3 linked regions of the Xenopus tropicalis genome follow. The protein of the gene in region 2 purifies or fractionates together with the protein of the main gene of each other region. This does not show direct contact. Links are inferred from orthologs where the notes say so. Each region holds a gene or a part of one and is shown on either strand. Other genes may lie near its edges.

The links.
Region 1: the proteins of itga4 (region 2) and itgb1 purify together in Homo sapiens (co-immunoprecipitation; 4 studies listed by BioGRID and IntAct, with this or other methods). This does not show direct contact. The link is inferred for Xenopus tropicalis from reciprocal best matches to the Homo sapiens genes ITGA4 and ITGB1.
Region 3: the proteins of itga4 (region 2) and lgals1.1 purify together in Homo sapiens (affinity purification with mass spectrometry; 3 studies listed by BioGRID and IntAct, with this or other methods). This does not show direct contact. The link is inferred for Xenopus tropicalis from reciprocal best matches to the Homo sapiens genes ITGA4 and LGALS1.

What each region holds. Positions count from the first base shown.
Region 1 is NC_030682.2:22,885,392-22,889,050, forward strand, and holds part of itgb1 (integrin beta-1 precursor), read left to right. Parts: intron 1-771; coding exon 772-927; intron 928-1,136; coding exon 1,137-1,232; intron 1,233-1,698; coding exon 1,699-1,788; intron 1,789-1,922; coding exon 1,923-2,063; intron 2,064-2,318; coding exon 2,319-2,521; intron 2,522-2,834; coding exon 2,835-3,073; intron 3,074-3,448; coding exon 3,449-3,659.
Region 2 is NC_030685.2:62,639,392-62,643,050, reverse strand, and holds part of itga4 (integrin alpha-4), read left to right. Parts: intron 1-306; coding exon 307-414; intron 415-1,871; coding exon 1,872-1,991; intron 1,992-2,465; coding exon 2,466-2,585; intron 2,586-2,844; coding exon 2,845-2,940; intron 2,941-3,659. UniProt on the Homo sapiens protein: Integrins alpha-4/beta-1 (VLA-4) and alpha-4/beta-7 are receptors for fibronectin. They recognize one or more domains within the alternatively spliced CS-1 and CS-5 regions of fibronectin. They are also receptors for VCAM1.
Region 3 is NC_030680.2:122,667,110-122,669,986, reverse strand, and holds the end of lgals1.1 (galectin-1), read left to right. Parts: intron 1-566; coding exon 567-738; intron 739-1,827; coding exon 1,828-1,971; 3' UTR 1,972-2,222; downstream 2,223-2,877. UniProt on the Homo sapiens protein: Lectin that binds beta-galactoside and a wide array of complex carbohydrates. Plays a role in regulating apoptosis, cell proliferation and cell differentiation. Inhibits CD45 protein phosphatase activity and therefore the dephosphorylation of Lyn kinase.

The sequences.
Region 1 (3,659 bases), on a different chromosome or scaffold from region 2:
ACATGTAAAAAGTCAAACAGCGTTTGTTTCGCCGCCCCATATAGATAGCTCACACATTTATTTTACTCTGGCTTGAAATTCTGCACCTTTGAGCAGTGTCATGTTTTAGTGGCTTAAATCGGTTGTTCACCTTTAATTTTACTTTTAGTATTATGTAGAGCAATGTTGTCCAACTTATAACATGTAGCAGGCTATTTATCTCATACAGCACAATTCAATTCAAATGATGTCATATAGTGAAGTCAATGGGGTGTTTGAGCAGACTGGGGGATATAAAGATCCTTTGAAGGGCCACGGCCGGCCTGCGGGCCTCCAGTTAGACTGCGCTGATGTAGAGAGTGCTTTTTGAGAGAATTTGCAACTGGACTTCATATTTATTTGCAGTTTTTTGAATTATTTAGCTTTTTGTTCAGCAGCTCTCCAGTTTAGAATTTCAGAAGGTATTTGGTTGCTAGGATCCAATTTAACCTGGCAACCATGTAGTGCTTTAAAAGAGAGACAGGAACATAAAGGAGGAACAGTTTTTTTTTTTTTTGTTTTTTTTTTTACTACTAGGGTCAGGAAAGGCAAATAATTTAACAAGCACCTCTGTTTTGCGCAGAATTTTACAGATCTCCACATTCACAGTGGACAAAGCAAATGAAACGTAGATTACAAAAAAAGCACCATATAGTGATATATATTCTACATGTACTTATGTATTACAAATCCCAGAATAGGAAACCACGTTATGTGACGATTAACATTTTCTGTTTAATGTTTTTCTTAAAGGAGCAAATTGGTTGGAGAAATGTCACACGCTTGCTGGTCTTCTCAACTGACGCAGGATTCCATTTTGCCGGAGATGGAAAATTAGGCGGCATTGTATTGCCAAATGATGGCAAATGTCATTTGCATGGGAACATGTACACAATGAGCCACTATTATGTACGTATCTTGTATTGCCCACGTTACCGTTTTACTCAATAACTTTCTTCACAATTACTGTTTTCTACATAATTGTAATGATTATTCGGTAATCTACAGGTGTGTTTTTTGTTTTTGTTTTGTTTTTTACGTTCAGTGTATTATTGAAAATACTGTAGATACGAATTGTATTTTTGGGTGTTCATTTGTTTTGTTTTGTTATTTTTAAGGACTATCCCTCAATTGCTCACCTAGTTCAGAAACTTAGTGAAAACAACATTCAGACCATTTTTGCTGTTACAGAGGATTTCCAGCCAGTCTACCAGGTATTTATATTTGTTTATGTCTATGGTATATACACATGAATAGTAATAATAATTACTTGAGTTTAAGAGGAAAAAAATAGGTCTGGGAGACAAAAACAAGACTGGAGGGGCGAAAGATCAGAGGCAGAAGGGAAAAGTGCAAGGGTCAGAGAAGGATGGGAGTTTTGGAGAAGGGGGGCAGAAAGAGAAGGGAATAGCAGAGAAAGAATAGAACAAAAAAGTGAACAGAGTAGGTTTGGTGGTAAGTAGTGCTGCTATGGAAGAAATTTCTACTGGGGTGGTCAGCTAAATGCTGCCATATATGACTCTTAACATCAAAGGTATTTTCAAGACGCTGCTGTATGATTGCTAGTAACTGCCATTGTTTTGTCCTTTTCTGTTGAGCAACGGAAAACGGACAGTGGAATGTTAACTTTAATACATTAATGGCTCTGTAACATTATCCATATTTGTGTTTTTTTGACAGGAGCTGAAAAATCTGATACCAAAATCAGCTGTGGGAACCTTGTCCTCAAATTCCAGCAATGTGATTCAACTGATTATTGACTCCTATAATGTAAGTATCTGCCAGAAGTATCCATACCCCTGACGGCACTTTTGGTTTTATAGTTTTGTTCATTACTGTTTCATAGCTCTCTGTTCATTTCTATTGGAATCCAAAATAATCCTAAGTGATCTTTTTGTTTCCAGTCTCTTTCCTCTGAACTTATTTTGGAAAACAGCAAATTGCCAGAGGGTGTAACAATCAGCTATAAATCATTCTGTAAGAATGGAGTCAAGGGAACTGGGGAGGATGGAAGGAAATGTTCAAACATTTCTATTGGAGATCAGGTGAGTTCCCAACACATTTAGGCCTATGAAACCCCCTTGATTTGGACTATAGTAAACCTATTTGCTTGTTTCATGCAAGCAATCCCTGCTTATCAGCATAGGCATCCCTTTTTCCTATTCAAACAAATGTGAAGCAGCTGCTTGCAGGAAAGGTTGTTTGGGTTAAAAATCATGCAATGTCCACCAAAGTGGATGTGCGGTGCAGTACATAATGTGTCCAAGTAAGTGGATACTAACAGAGTTGCTTTCTTACAGGTGGAATTTGAAATTAGTGTGACAGCTCACAAGTGCCCCAAAAAAGGACAAGCGGAATCCATAAAAATCAAACCACTTGGATTTACCGAAGAAGTAGAGATTGTTCTCCAGTTCATCTGTGAATGTGATTGCCAGGAAAAAGGGACGCCCAACAGCCCTGAATGTCATCATGGAAATGGAACATTCGAATGTGGTGCCTGCAGGTATTGTGCTTCCTTGCATTTATTGGGCATCAGTGCACTTTAAAGCCCTGGCTTGAAATCCCTCTGTGCATAATGCCTTATTTTTTTAAATGTATATATTGTTAATACATCACATGTCATTTTTAAATTGCCAATTTTATTCATAGTGCAGTGGATATAAATGGCTAATAAATAAGAGTAGTAGAGCTTCAGTTGGTTGAAGTGGCCAAAAGGAATTTGTAAACGTGCCTCTACAACAGGATCTTATCCACAGCCAATCCAGCTCCTCTTTTCAGCTATAAAATAATAAATCGCTATGCTGTTTCCATGACAGATGTAATGAGGGGCGCATTGGGAAGGAGTGTGAATGCAGCACCGATGAAGTAAACAGCGAAGATATGGACGCTTATTGTCGAAGAGAAAATAGCTCTGAAATCTGCAGTAACAACGGGGACTGTATATGCGGCCAGTGTGTGTGCAAAAAACGGGACAATCCCAATGAAGTTTACTCCGGCAAGTACTGTGAATGCGACAACTTCAACTGTGACAGATCCAATGGGCTGATTTGTGGAGGTAAGAATCGATCACATAATTTATATGTTTCAGAGGGCAGAAACACCAGCTGCAGTCTTGCATTCATTCAGTCTCAGTACTTTATTATTAGTCTTTATAGAGTGCTGACTGGTCATGCAGCACTTTATAGCACTTTATGCATCATTCTGATCCGTCCCTGCCCCAGTGGAGCTTACAATCAAAGGTGCTTATCACATTCACACACGAACACTAGGGTCAGTTTTATCAGAATCCAGTTAACCTGCCTGTGTGTTTTAAGCATTCCTTTTGCAAAGCATAAGTAGAACATACAAACTCCTTGCATTCACTGGCAACTGTTGTAAGGGTTACTAAAGATGTTTGAAATTGTAAAATCAAACCATATTTTTGTTACAGGTAAAGGCGTGTGCAAGTGTCGAGTATGTGAATGTTTCCCCAATTACTCCGGCAGTGCTTGTGACTGCTCAGAGGATACCTCCACTTGTATGGCAAAAAATGGCCAGATATGTAACGGGAGAGGAATATGTGACTGTGGAAGGTGTAAATGTACAGATCCTAAATTCCAAGGACCAACCTGTGAACTGTGTCAGACCTGCGTTGGTGTTTG
Region 2 (3,659 bases):
CTAATAACAAAACACACACCAGTTATATTTGTCCTGGGAATATAGTTATTATTGTTGCAGTTTGATATCAGCTCTGGTTTGTTTGCCTATCTTTAATTGGTTATCTAACCAAAGCTCCACCCAGTCTATTCTCATTGGAGTTTTAAGTACTGCTTATTAATGACCAAAAACCCCAGCAATAGGAAATCACAGGTACAATTTAAAAAGAATATTTATTTGAATGCACTGACTTAATGGACATATATATATACATTGCAAACCTTATGGTGCTGCCACCGGTAACTGTGTTGCTTTCTTTCCTCTAAGGTCATTAATGCTGGATCGAGTCTGGTTCCGGCTGCAAAGCTTCAGATATCGTTGCCTAACACATTCTCACCAAATGGCGTGAAACTGTTAGATATTTTGGCTGTAAAGGTATGTTAAGCGCATGTGTAGGTACGTTTCCTTGACCCACTCTGTCTTCTTCTATCTAGTCATGTCAGTGGGTACTCAACCAATTGTGTGTTACAATGAATGCTAGTACAACACACAAGGGTTAATAAGGGTTCTCAAGAGAAGGATAGTTAGGGGGTGATTTATCTACAGTCGAGGTTGATTTTTCTTCTCGGGTCGAGTTATTTTCCGCTTCAAAATCTCAAATTGGAGTTATGGTTGGAAAACTGGAATGTCAGGTATTTCCTGAGTACAAAAACCCAGAAAACTTGAATGTAAAAATTTGCCATGTAAAAGCTTGCGAGCTTCTATAGATATTATTAACTCTAATTTTTTGGAGTTTTTAAAGCTTGTAACTCAAAATATTCAAGGTTTTTGTGCCAATGAGTTTTTCTTATTAATAAATAAGCGACCATTCAATATGTGAGTCCACTACAAAAAACAACAAACAAATATAAAAGTGTTTATGCCCTTTGAATGGTGCAAACTCTAATGTTATTAATCCCACCCTAGGACTGTTAGTGGGTTGTGCACTTTATTTATCCCCCAACACAGCAGTTTGGGTTTCAGTGGTAAATAAAAACCCTCCCCTTCATTCATTACCTCTTACCCCATACCAAAGTGTGTCCTGGCATCTCTGTAGATGTTCTACTGCTGATCTGGCTGACTACTTTGAAACTCAAATAAAATGTAACAGTAGTCAACTGTCCTCAGTCTGCCTTCAGCCTGCATCCTCCCAATTCCACAATTCCATGCACATCAGTGTTTTAGTCCCTCCTCCCCTGCCAGGATTTCAAATGATACAGAAAGAGAAGAACTGTTTTGCAGCAGGATTTCAGCATAGAAAAATGGTATTTATTCATACTTTTAGAAGGAACGGATTACACTAGGGGTTTCTGTGTTGTTTGGGGCTCTTTAATAAGTTTTGGTTCGGAAGCCAGAGTTCCCCTTTAAAAGCTTATTTATCATTTTCAAATTTGCTAAATTTAGAGGCTTTTTTCCAATTTTGCTAAACTTATATGTTTGCTTATTTATTAAAAATTTCAAATATAATAAACTTAGTTGAATTTAACCATAAAAATAAATCAAAGGCATCAAATTCTACCCATAATTTTCAATGTTTTTTTTTTTTTACAAACTGAAAAAACTTGAATTGAACCACATAAATTTTGCCCAGAAACAACTCCCACTGACTTCTGCCGCGTGTGGCTGCACTGAAGCGGATTCATTATTTTTCAGTGCAGAAACATGGGTGTCACTCAGCCTGACGGTAAAACCCAGGGCCAAGAGAAAGGGATCCACGCTTGTGACCTGGCCCTTAGTCCATTTACTACATTTACTAAAAAAATGAATGAATGCTCTTGCAAATAGGGAAAATAATTCAGTTTAGCTGCCAACTGCAGTGTAGTTTCATCTAAAATTCTACTTATTCCTTGCAGACAACCGTTGGTGAATGCTATTTTGACAACTACACAAGGGGCTGCGAAACACCCAAAAACACTCGCTCAAAAGTTGGTGATCTATTTGCATTTTTTTCCAGGCCGGACAAAAGATGGCTGGTGAGTATTAAAGCACAACTCTATGAACATTTACCTGTTTTTTTAAAAAGGGATTTAAATCCAAAAAATAAATTAATTTGAACTTACTGTAATTTACATTCATTTTCTCTTTCTGGTGTTTTCAAGCATATTAACATTGTAAGACTGCTGCCCAGGCCTGTACAAGCGCATGAATAAAGGCTAAAATGGGAAGCAAACAAAAAGAAAAAAGAAGTGTGCTAGATCATTGGCATATATATACAAAATGCGGCATACACAAGGTGTTTTCCACCCAAAAAGTAACTAGAATAGCAAAAGAACAAAAGTTTTTGTGTTTGTGCCTTTAAGAATTAACATTTATTTCATACGATTAAATTAATCGTATGAAATAAAAGTTAATTCTTAAAGGCACAAACACAAAAACTTTTGTTCTTTTGCTATTCTAAAATGGGAAGCATTACAGATATGTAACAGAATGTCTGCTTGTTTCCCCAGTACTGCATGAAAGATGATCCTTCTTGCATTCAAATTCTGTGCCTGTTTGGGGACATGGAACGGGAAAGTAAAGCCACTGTGGAAGTACAGCTTGAGATCAGTCATTCATATTTAGAAACAGTAAGTATATATGTACCAAAAGTTCCTTGTATGTAGGCACTCACATTCCCTACATCTGAATCCTATAGAAATAACTGGGATTCTTTTAAATCTCAAAATGAATCCTGGATTCGGTGCATCCCTAAAGTCAGCATTAATACATACAGTATATAGCTTTAGCCCAACACTATTCTTCTCATTCTGTTTGCCAAGCCTGTTCCCAGATATTGTTCTTGCTTTCACTAATACAATTTGTATTGCCTTCTTGTTGTTACTGTAGGATGAAGCCACGCTAATACAGTTTTTCACAACAGCTCAAGCAGGCTTTGAAGATAGCCCTAAGATCATCAACCTTAACCAGGATCATCATGCATATGTAAGAACAAATCAACAGCCTTCTCTAAAGATGTTATAATTGCTTACAAATCCTGCCTTGGGAGCCTCTGGCCCCATAATTCTGCTGTATCACAACATAAACCAACAGACGGGGGTGGGGGTGTTCGGAAATAACCATTGGAGTGGTCAGAAGTACTAATTACAAAGAGCAAACAATGCACTTTTGGTTTGAACATATGATAATGTGTCGAGTTAAATCCAGGGCTGGCAGTAAGGATAAACAAAGGCACAGCTTGTGGGGGGCACAATTTTTTGGATCGATCATCCTCCCAATCGAGGATGATAAAGGAAGGTGAGAGATAGCAAATAACCAGCTGGAGGAGGAAAGTGATGGGTAGGGTTTGGTAGTAAGAGGCCAAGCTACCCCTCTGGGAGGTGTATGTCACAGGGGGGTTGGTGCAAGCAGACATGAGGCTAATGAGACGCTGGGCAGCAATACTACTTGGCCTGGCTATGTTGCATTCCCTTAAACTTGCCATAGTTTGGGGGGGTAAGTTTTTTCTGTGCTCAAAAGAATAATTCAAGTGCTGAAAGGACCTCAGACCTTTATAATCAGCCCCAAAGAATATTCATTCAATCTTCTTTGCATTTTACCTTTAAAATGTTTAGCTAAGTAGCTATAGTCTGTCCTCTCATGTGGAAATAAAGTATAAAGTACAGGCCACTATTTATTTTTATTACTAATATTTATTGTGCTTA
Region 3 (2,877 bases), on a different chromosome or scaffold from region 2:
AATGTTTGTCTGCATATCTGCAGAGAGGAATGTGCAGTTAGCCGTTTCTAATGCATAAATAAGATAAACATTTAAAGGGGACCTGTCACCCTAATAAATAATTCCAAATTGTTTTCTATTGTGTTTGTCAAGAAAAATCAACTTTATTCACACCATATAAATTATTTAAATCTTGTTTCCTTCAATCCTGGAATTCACAATCACAGCAAGTAGGCAGGTGCCATTTTGGACATTTTGTTATGAAGATAAGCTTTTCATCATGCCAAAATCTTGTGCCAAAATGGGGGACCTGATGCCCATGCACTGGCTACACAATGCACGTATGCCTAGCCCTATATATATATACATAGTGCTGATAGTAGGGGATACTAATAAGTTTTAACAAGATTCTGTTTTAACAATGGCCTGTCTCCTAGAGCAAATAACAGGACATGGTCTAGATTACATGAGCTCCTGCTGGGCCTTGTAAAGGCACCTAATTACTGTACTGTTTAACACTAATTATTGTACTCAATACCGTTGGTTGTACAATACTTTCTGACATGTATTTTGTTTACTTTTTCAAGCTTTGCAATAAACCTGGGAAAAGATAGTTCAAACTATGTCCTTCACTTTAATCCTCGATTTGACCACCAAGGCGACAACAAGAAAATCATCTGCAACTCAAAGGAAGAAAACTGCTGGGGGAAAGAGCAGAGGGAGACTGCTTTCCCATTCCAACAAGGAGCAGAGACATCGGTAAGCATGAGCATATGATGGTCACATGATTAATGAATATTTCTGTAAAATGGTAGGATTGGCCTCCAATCAAGGCTGTTGGAGTTCAAAATAAAAGTCCAGAATGAAATATGCTATTTGCTGGACACTCTTTGGGATGTGATGCACCCAGGTGGTTCAGAAACCTGTATAAAACACATTTGTTATATGAACTGATCATGTGACTGGTGGATTAAGTGAATGGATTGAGGCCACATTTATGGTGAATAGAATCAGGTTATTCTGAGCATATACAAAATGTGAGAGTGATCCCGTGTCCTGACTATTTTGGACGAGGTGAATGATTCTTTCCTAAATGCAAATGATATATAGCTATCTCTTCCAGAGGGCACCCCTATTAATAGTGTCTTTTTATAATAGAGGGATGAGGGGAGCCAGGTTGAGTGTATTTCTAGTGTAGAATTAGGATGAGCATACTTTATTTCCACTATGTGGGGAATACAAGAGGACATTTACAATGCATAGCCCTTATTTGGCACCTCCAGGTACCTTTTTTATGCTTGTGGTGCTCCCCAACTCTTTTTACATTTGAATGTGGCTCACGGGTTAAAAAGGTTGGGGATCCCTGTTCTAGATACTCCTGAAACCTCAGCCTGGGCTCCCTTTACAGTGAGTTTTGGGATGAACATTTCTTTTATGTTTTAGATATTTGTATCCATCATAATTTTTCATATATATGCAACCTTGTTAGCTAAGGGGGTCCATCCAAATGTTAGACCTTAAACGAGGAAATAAATCCAAAAACGCAAAAAAACACTGCTCTAAGATCTGGTAATATAGCAGCATGAGCGTGTGAAGCATAAGCAAGTAGTTAGAATCAGGGAGAGCCACTGGAATAGCTGTGTAAGGGCCAGAGTAGCACAGGGACTGAGCATTGAGAACATCCCAGTGCTCCTTGTTAAAAGGTTTAACAGCATGAGGAAGAGTATGACAAGATTTGATGATGGATTTATAGTCAGACAAGTTATCCGGCACTGTCTTTCTGAATTAAGTCAGCATATTTGTCTTTATTTGTGTGACTTACAGCAATCATTATCTCTATTTTGACAGATTTGTTTTGAGTATCAAGCAGATCATTTAAAGGTGAAGTTATCCGATGGCCAAGAATTCACCTTCCCCATCCGAATGCCCTTGGATACCATTACATTCCTCTGTATGGATGGAATAGAGCTCAAGTCTTTTTCGCTTCATTAACAGCTCTGCGGCCTCCACAGTCAATAGAAGCCACTAGGCCACATATATAACATGTCATACAGGAAATGTTCTTCGACCCATAATGCACTGTCACTGACAAGCTGTGGGGAGGACTATATAGTTCCTAGTTAGAAAATTTTCTTTCACAAAAGCTACTAAAGCTTTATGTTATCTTATGCAATATATCCTTAGCAGATCTCTCTGTACTTACTATAAACATGAAGTAATAAATCTTTGTTTCATTTATTGTCTGTGCTTGCTCTTGTCTCTTGCTAGTGTTTTCTAAACTCTCCAGGACTGACTATATGCTAAGGTTACCCAATCATGTGAAATACCTGGGACACCTCTAGATATTTCAACTAAAGGGGCTACACTGATTGTTTTTATTTTTAGGCAATTGGTTTGCAATCAGTGCAGCACAGAAAGAGCCTACATTCATTTGTCCCTGGTTTGGTAGTGTCATGATATTTTTCTCACTTAGCACCCTACTGCTCGCTGAGCACCCACAGGCACAGATCTTTGCACTTCAGAATGGAGTGCAAGGACCTGAGTCTTGCTGATGAATACAATGCTCATGAGTTTGGCAGCACTGTATTCAGGAGGGGTGGCACACTGGTGACCTCTATTCAGCCTCCTAATTGCCCCCTAACATCATACATTCAACTACATCATTCAGACATGTTATGAGGTGAATTTGGATGAATGGTGATAGGGAGCTTGCTGCCTGCCTATTTTGGGTGTTTTTGTGCCCTTAAAGGAGACATATTGGATAAATGGGAAAACCCTAATTTTGTAGGCAATTATGAATAATATACGGTGCTGGTTTCACTTTGGGCTAAACATTAACCCTATCTGTAACAATGGCCCCTTTATTGGAGCTCCCTATAGATCCTATCACTTCTCTGT